2 linked regions of the Macaca fascicularis genome follow. The protein of the gene in region 2 binds, or shares a complex with, the protein of the main gene of each other region. Links are inferred from orthologs where the notes say so. Each region holds a gene or a part of one and is shown on either strand. Other genes may lie near its edges.

Region 1 (3,935 bases), on a different chromosome or scaffold from region 2:
AAATTATTTTCAGGCAGAAAATCAGCAGGAACTCAAAAGCTTTCAGACTTTCTCTCTCCATGTGATAAGTATTTCTATCTTCTTCAATTTAATTAGTAGGAAAGCAAAACAGAAGGTAGTGGGTGGGGCAATTTCCCAAAGACAGGAAGAAATACAACAAATCACTGATTTGTTCTTTCCTTCTGAAGCCTCTGGGTCAAAGAGTTCCAGTCTTCCCTTCATGTGAGCCCACAGGAGAACTCTGCAGAGCCAAAGCTCTTCATCTTATCCCTTTCTGGTCAAGCCAGGGGTTAAGGTTCAAATCCAGGCCCTGGAACACCTGTTGGGTAAGAGTGCAATGGTGCAATCTCGGCTCACTGCAACCTCCACCTCCCAGGTTCAAGCTACTCTCCCGCCTCAGCCTCCCATGTAGCTGGGATTGCAAACATGTGCCATCATAACCAGCTAATTTTGTATTTTTAGTAGAGATGGGGTTTCATCATGTTGATCAGGCTGGTCTCGAACTCCTGACCTCATGTGATCCACCTGCCTCGGCCTCCCAAAGTGCTGGGATTACAAGCGTGAGCCACTGCTCCTGGCCTGCTGAATTATTTTAATGTCCAGCTGTGTTTGTACTGTTCAGCACACTCCTCCACAGCCAGTGTTCATTATTAGTGCCACTGGGGATAAAGTTGGCAGAAAAAAGCTGCCGCAATCCAAAGCATGATTCCTATGGGTCACAAGAGATGAATGGGCCTCCCTCTGAATCACACAAAGAATTGGAAGGAGCTTAGGGGAAAGCTAGCCTCAGGTCAGGACTGCCTGCATGCCACTCAGCTAGTGAGGGGCTGAATCACCTTATTCCTGGAGAAAGACTTTGATGCTGAGAAAAATGACTTGCTCAGCTCTTGCTATAACTGTGACCATCTCTGCGACAGTAAAGTAAAAACAAATACCTCTCTTGTTGGGTAATCATGTGTAAGTCATTGCAAGGAGAACACAAAACTGCTGCTGATTCTTTCCTTCTGTTACATGGTTTGGTGGAGATGGACACATTGTCACTGCTTTCTTAAACTGTTGTAGCCAGATCTCAGGCATTCTCAGCATTGACGCCTTCCTGCTAGAGGATTTCCAAGGGTTGGTATCTGGGTGGCTCCCAGGTTCTTTGCGTTTTTAGTAGAGGGTATTTAGTGTATCTAGGAACCCTTTCCTAGGGTTCAATAATTATCTTTTAATGGCTTGGTAAAATGGTGTTGAACTTAATCAGCAACATTGCTAAAAATTAGTTCAAAGAAAGCTTTTCAAGAAGGGTCCCCTTACTTATAAATTAAGTCCTCCATACCCCTTCTCAGATTGCTACAAAGGACGGCCAGAAACCATGTTGCTTGTTTCCTACCGAGAGAGGTCATCTTCATTAGGCCGGCGCTAGAGAAGAGGGTCAGCATCCAGAGCCTGGGAACAAGGGCAGAAGTGAGGGATGGGGAGGCAGCATTCTTACCTTTCCTGGCCTGCTGGATGTATCTTGCCAGCAGCGCGCCCAGGTGCGCTCGGGACTCCCCGTCCGTTCTCTGCACTGCCCTCAGCTGCCTACGGGGCGCCTCCTCTGCCCGCTGCAGCCCGGAGCCCGCGGGCTCTGCGGGAGGCACCGGCTGCGTCAGGGCGCCAGCCGCCAGTACCGCCATCAGTACGCACAGGCGCACGCCGCTGTTCATGGCTGTAGGGAGCAAAGGAGGAAGGGGCGTTAACGGAAAGGCTGGGCATCCGAGAGCTCCTGCGGCGGGCAGGGCACCCAGAAACCGGCTTAGGACAAACACAGGTGCTCCAGACTCCCCAGGCCGCCACAAGCACGAGGGCTCAAGTCGAGTGCCATGGCGCGCGCCCCCGGGCGCACACGGCTGGTCTTTGGGAACTCCACACCCAGTGCCGAGGGGCAGACAGAGACCCTGTTTTTTGCCGTGTTGAGCAGAAGGAATGTTTTCTGCTTCCCTAAAGTTTGAGGAAGTGTTTGCAGAGTGCCTCTCTTCTAACTGAAAGAAGAAAAATAAAACCCCACGAGATTAAAAATAGTGTGAAAAAAATATCCTAAAGGGAAGACTCCGTGGGAGAAATGAGAACCCTAGGGAAAGCACCTTTCCAGATAGCTAACAAGCTTTCAATATGGAAATACAGTAAATGACGAAAAAGAGAAGCACAGTTTAAAATGTAGGAGCAATAAATAAAGCCGTATTTATAAAGTTTTCTCAAAGTGTAGGTGGGAAATGGCAATAAGCCACTACGCAAAACATAGGCAGGTTTTAAAATCAGAAATAGGTGCCCAGCACTCAGGCTTCCAAAGCCCCGTGCATTTTAGATCGCTAGTGGATAAAACACCCTCACATTTCTATCCGTAAAGCCTCGAAATTTTCTGCAGTATTTAGAAAATGAATTTGAATCTTAAAACCCTCTGGTATTTTATTAGAAAATATTGCAACGTCCCCAGCACCGCTGTGTAACAGCTAGCAAATCTCAATCTGCATGCGAATCTTAGCGAATGGGTATGCCGGCGCGTGAAAGCCTCTAAAGCAGCTCTACCTACCCAGACCTCACTTTTAGACCCGGAACCGTTGTTTCTGACTTCAAGAAATGTCTTTCGAGCTCTCGGAGGAAAGACACAGAAAATAGAAAAGCAAAATGGAAATGGGCACAAAGCTGACGACAGCATTCTTCAAAGACACACGACACTTGGATCCCCCGCTGACGAACCGAGGGACCTACCTTTTGGATTAGAACGCAGCTGGCTTGGCGTTTCCAACCGGAGCAGCCCGGCAGCTGAGCCAAGTTCAGGGAGGACCAGAGGGCGGCTGCCTCTTAAATAGCCCCGCCCGGCGGCGTCGCCCAGTCATGTATTTACCCAGCGCTGACGCAGACTGGCAGCAACACGTGCTCAGAGGGTGGCCACTGGGACGACAACCGGTTGAAGTGGCTCCTGGGGGAGAGGGGGAGGTGGTCCAGTGGGGCGGATTTAACCCCTCCCTGGCTGGGCCCGGTGTCTGTCCCCCTCTGGGTCCGAGAAGCTTCCTTCCAACCCTTTCCAGCTGCCGCTCCCCTGCGCATTCCAGAGCAGTGCTCTCCAAGGTGGGAAACCTAGGAGTTTGGAGTCTTCCCTGGGATGGAGAAGCTGCCGCTAGCTTAGTTCGCTTTGGGGACCGGAGGGTCCAGAAAGGAAACTGGGGCGGGGGTGGGGGGTGGACACTGGGCGGGACTGAGCGTCAGTAAGGCGCGATTCTGAGAGGGATGGGGCGTGGGCCCCCCTACCCCGGAGCGTCCGAGGCACTGGTCTTCATACTTGTGTGGGCTCTTTCGAAGGAGAGGAGTCGGGGTCTTTACTTTCTTCTCAGCCGCATTAAAAGCCCTCGCAGTTCTCCAGGTTTCTGAGAGCTAGTGTTCCGGGTCAGTGAAAGGGCTCCGGCCACAGCTGGCTGTTGGTGTTCTGGGACTTTCTTTACGCAGCTGTAAAATGGGGATGACACCATCTGGCTTTGCTCAGAGGAATCCGGCTTGGGAAAGCGATGTGTTTCCTTCCCTGGCCAACTTACCGCCACCCGCGGCGCCCACTGTTCCCAGCTGCCGACAAGCGGCGCCAGCGAGGGTCCTGGGGAACTTGCCCACCGCACCCCTGCAAGCTTGGGTAGACCACGGCATTCGCCCCTCCCACCTTTCCGGAGGGCCCACACACTCACACCCCTAGGACCGTACCTGCCAGAACTCAGCTGCGCAGCCAGGAGATGAGGACCTCGCCCGTCGTCACTCACCCGTCCGGTGGAGGGAAGGGAGGCACCAAGGCTGCAGTGCGCCTTTCCCTGCGCGCGGTTACTCTCCTGGCTCCGGAGCGGGCCGACCCGTAGTCCCTCAGTGCGCGGTGGTCGTCTACACCCTGAAGCCCTTTGAGTTCGAATCGGCTTGCTGGCGCTTGAGTT
Region 2 (4,153 bases):
ATCACGTCTCCCTGCTTCACTTCCTTCATAGTACTTACTACCTGAAATAATTCTGTTCATTATTTGCTGACATGATAGAAAAGTGCCTGGCAAATGATTGACTCTCAGTGAAGATGTGCTGAACGCAAGACTTCATGAATGACGAGGAAATCTTACTAACATCTTTTGTAATAAGGACCCAGGTACCTATGTTCAAAAGTACCTCAATCCTTCTAGTTAACAAGGGCAGAGACCACGAGAAATAACACTGTGTTTAGTAGCAACTTAACAACCAGCCAGCAGTTCTATCCACAGACACACACCACCGGGCATGGTTCCAGAACTAAAAAGGCACTAATTGCTTTTCTATAAGGAGGTAGAACACAGTCCCTCCGTGTTCTTTAGGCCTGATGGTCTGCATTATCGGATCTGTTACCGTGTTAATTGTTCCTGTCTCATACAGCCAGTTTGGGCTTTCTTCTGCACATGTCTTGGATGGTGACAGGTTCCTATATAGAGGAGTACTGGGGAAGCCTGTGTGTGTGTGTATGTGTCCGTGCGTGTGTACACATGTGTGTATAAAAGCAGCCACACTCTGAGAATGGTTAACAGGCAACCAGGCTGTCTGTGCTCAGGGCCCTAAGACTGGCCCAGGAAAGGGCCGGGGGGGTCGGGGGTGAAGGTGGAGCGGGCTTCGCTTGCGCTCACTGCCTTTTCCACAACAGGAGTGCAAATGCTTGCCCAGCTGGAGTGAGTGTGGTGAACTCAAGTCGCCTTTAGGAATGGCTGAAAAAGCCCACACCTGGAAATCACTCCCTCCCTGCTCCTCCACGGCAGGTTGCATTTGGGAGACGCTTCAGTCATTAGAGAAATGAGCCGGGAGTGAGCAATTCACCAGCTCTCCAGCACTTGGTGGAAAGCAGCAGGCAAGGATGGATGTGGTTGACAGCCTTCTTGTGAATGGAAGCAACATCACTCCTCCCTGCGAACTCGGGCTCGAAAATGAGACGCTTTTCTGCTTGGATCAGCCTCGTCCCTCCAAAGGTAAGTGTCGGAAGCTGTTATTTTAATCCAGGAAACTACTGAGTTGCGGGAGAAATCAGCAAAGGCAAGGCTGATAAAAAAATATACATAACCAAGTCATTGTGAGACAAGGCTGGATAAAGTCATATGTTCAGAAGTTTGCAGAAGAGATTAACAAGCAGAATAGAGTCAAATATTCTTATTGTCCCCCATGGGAGAGTTGGGCATTCATGAATAGGACTTGAGGGAACAAAAGCAGGGGAGGAAAAGCTGAGTGAAGCAAGAGGGAGTACAAGTGTCAAAGCCTGAACTTACAAGCACAGCAGAAAAGGTGTTGTCACCATGCAGCCGTTTTCTTTTCTTGGGGGGAAACCAGCGTGAAGTGGTTACAGTGAAATCATGCTTAGCAGCCAGGAAAGAAAGTGATCACTGTTCACTTGAGGAGCTTTGTTCTTAAGAAAAAGTGGTTCCCTGAGTGATCCTTTAACAAACCAACCTTCTACAAACAAAATAATTCAGTCTCTGCTTTCCTCAGTTTGTTTCTGCAAAATGTTGTCAGGACAGGAATGGTGGGTCCAGTGATGTACACCCCGGTGAGGGGGGAAATCGGCAGGAAATCACCCTTGGCTTCGGTTTTAGCATTCTGCTCTCATCACCTCCATCCCTCCGTCTTGCTCCTGTTGCTGTCTGCAGAGTGGCAGCCAGCGGTGCAGATTCTCTTGTACTCCTTGATATTCCTGCTCAGCGTGCTGGGAAACACGCTGGTCATCACCGTGCTGATTCGGAACAAGCGGATGCGGACGGTCACCAACATCTTCCTCCTCTCCCTGGCTGTCAGCGATCTCATGCTCTGCCTCTTCTGCATGCCGTTCAACCTCATCCCCAGTCTGCTCAAGGATTTCATCTTCGGGAGCGCCGTCTGCAAGACCACCACCTACTTCATGGGTAAGTTGCTGCTGGTGACTCTTTCTGGAGCTTGCCCCAGACCCCACTCAGCCCCAGACCTTCCCAAACCTCTGACAATCACAGCAGAAGACCTCTGCTGAGGGCTGAATCACAGAACATTAGGCTGTGCACGGCTGTGTGCAAGGACATTGCTGCTGACTTGACGGTCATCCTTATATGTTCCCCGTAAGTCGGTCCCCATCATCCACGTTGGAGGTCAGTTTCTAAGAGTGAAATATATTGATAGGAAAACACAGGGGCAGTTAATTTTGCCTGATTCTATTTGAAGGAAAGAGGGACTTGCTTCCTTCTGTTTGAAGTCAAAAGTGACTTTAAGCTGCTCTATCCCTTTCTGGAAGCTGTTGACTGTGTCCTGAGCTATACCCAACTTGAGTCCTGGCTTCTAGGGAGAGTAAGGATTATGGAGGAGGGTTCTTTGTCATTGTTCCTCTTGTTTTCTTAGGGAACAGGGGCTATTTGAAAACCAGTTCTATCACAGTTCCAGATTCTCTTGCCAGGATTCACTTCTCAGCCTGTTCTCCCCAAAGCTGGGACCATCTCTGGCAAAGGGAGAGAGGTCTCTGCCCCTAGATGAGGAGTTGAATTTGCTCCTGGGGGCTGTGGGGTCGCTAAGCTGACCCTGATTGGCTGAGATATGTAGCTGTTTGCCTATGCCAAACAAAAATGATGATAATGAAAATCACAAGAGCTAAATTTTTTGTGCTTTTATGCACCCCATGTGGTACTAAGTGCTTTGACTTTCATGATCTTACCTTACCTCCCAACCACTCTATGAAGTAAATGCAATGATTCTTCCTTGTCTCATTAAGGAGGAAACAGAGGCACAGAGAGGTTCATAATGTGCCTAAAGCCACACAGATGGTAAGCAACAGAGCTGAGATTTGAGTCCAGATTAGTAGCCACACAGTGGTGAGCATGCTACCTCAGTTTGCCAACTGCTGTGGTTCTCCTGGAGTTGAACAAAGACACATTTCTTGGTCCCCTCTGGGTGCCAGATTGCCTAGTCCCTTGCCCTTTCTGAGAATTAGTTGGGAGAGGGGCAGAGGTGGGAAATAAGCAGGGAGTTATTTTTGTTCTGACCCAAGCCTTGAAGAATATGCAGCAGTGAGCTGGGCTAGGGTAGTCTTCAATGACCGGAAGGCTTTAAAAGTCTTTGTTTTTCCCAGTTGAGGAAGTGGGATTCCGCACTGACAAAATGATGATGAATTTCTGACCCTCGTGCCACCAAAAACCAAGAATGTGTCAATCCGTGTCCAAGTCCTCTGAAAAAAAAAAAAAAAAAAGGACGAAACTTACAAAGGACAAAGATCATTGTTAAATAATGAAGCAATAATAATAACTAGTGCTGTAGACATCCAAGGCCCATCCATATATATCTTATGGTAATACTATTTGGGAACCTTAACCGGAGAATGTGAACCGAGGTTTAAAACGAGTGTTTTCATGGTGGCAAAACATTCTGAGTGCCACAAAGTTGTTCAGTTTGAAATGTTTAATTTTATGTTATGTAAATTTCAACAGCATAAAAACAATTTTATTGGCCAAAAGAAAAGAAACATCATTCTGAAAGTATTTGCAATACCATAATAATTTTGTTGGATTTTTAATTCCAATAATTTAGGTTCTTCTCTTAATTTTGCAGTCTCCTCAATACTAATAATTAACATTGATTAGCTCCTAATTTGTAGCAACAAGAAAAAGAATGCTTGCCTGCCAGTGAGTTTATAGTTACTGAGGATCCATTACACAGAACTGACTCTTAGAGAGTTTTGGGCTATACTCTCGACTCTAAATGTCATCAACTCTTTAGGGTAAAATCCAGTAAAACACAGCAAATCCTATCCCCAGAACATGAGTTTTTAGTTAATGGTTTGGGGGTCATAGACTTCTTTAAGACTCTAAGGAAAGCTAGAGCCAGGCTCCCTAGAAAAATGACGTTTTTGGATATAGTTTCAGAGAATTAGTTTATATCCATAAGAATAATGAGAAACTAAGGACCCCAGTTTCAGGACCTCTGCTCCCAAATTTATATTAATTCGGAGGTTTAAGAAATCTTGGTAAGAGATATTCAGAAGAATTGACAGAATTTATAGCGGAAGGACTCTACAGGGAATTTTAAGGGAATAATAGGACATTTTAATAAGTATGCATATACAAAAATAATAGAAATTTAGCTTTTTGGACA

Evidence for each region.
Region 1: the proteins of CCKAR (region 2) and CCK are in contact, whole or in part, in a cryo-EM structure (PDB 7MBX), measured with the Homo sapiens proteins. The link is inferred for Macaca fascicularis from reciprocal best matches to the Homo sapiens genes CCKAR and CCK. Residues at the interface, in NP_000721.1 of Homo sapiens: Cys94, Phe97, Asn98, Pro101, Asn102, Lys105, Asp106, Phe107, Thr118, Met121, Gly122, Val125, Tyr176, Phe185, Asn194, Met195, Cys196, Arg197, Phe198, His210, Leu213, Leu217, Ile329, Phe330, Ala332, Asn333, Arg336, Ala343, Glu344, Leu347; in NP_000720.1 of Homo sapiens: Asp96, Tyr97, Met98, Gly99, Trp100, Met101, Asp102, Phe103.

Annotation. Positions count from the first base shown.
Region 1 is NC_088376.1:105,094,825-105,098,759, forward strand, and holds the start of CCK (cholecystokinin), read right to left. Parts: upstream 2,801-3,935; 5' UTR 2,734-2,800; intron 2,616-2,733; exon of another isoform or gene 2,555-2,615; intron 1,694-2,554; 5' UTR 1,692-1,693; coding exon 1,478-1,691; intron 1-1,477. UniProt on the Homo sapiens protein: This peptide hormone induces gall bladder contraction and the release of pancreatic enzymes in the gut. Its function in the brain is not clear.
Region 2 is NC_088379.1:25,621,653-25,625,805, reverse strand, and holds the start of CCKAR (cholecystokinin receptor type A), read left to right. Parts: upstream 1-1,353; 5' UTR 1,354-1,568; coding exon 1,569-1,947; intron 1,948-4,153. UniProt on the Homo sapiens protein: Receptor for cholecystokinin. Mediates pancreatic growth and enzyme secretion, smooth muscle contraction of the gall bladder and stomach. Has a 1000-fold higher affinity for CCK rather than for gastrin.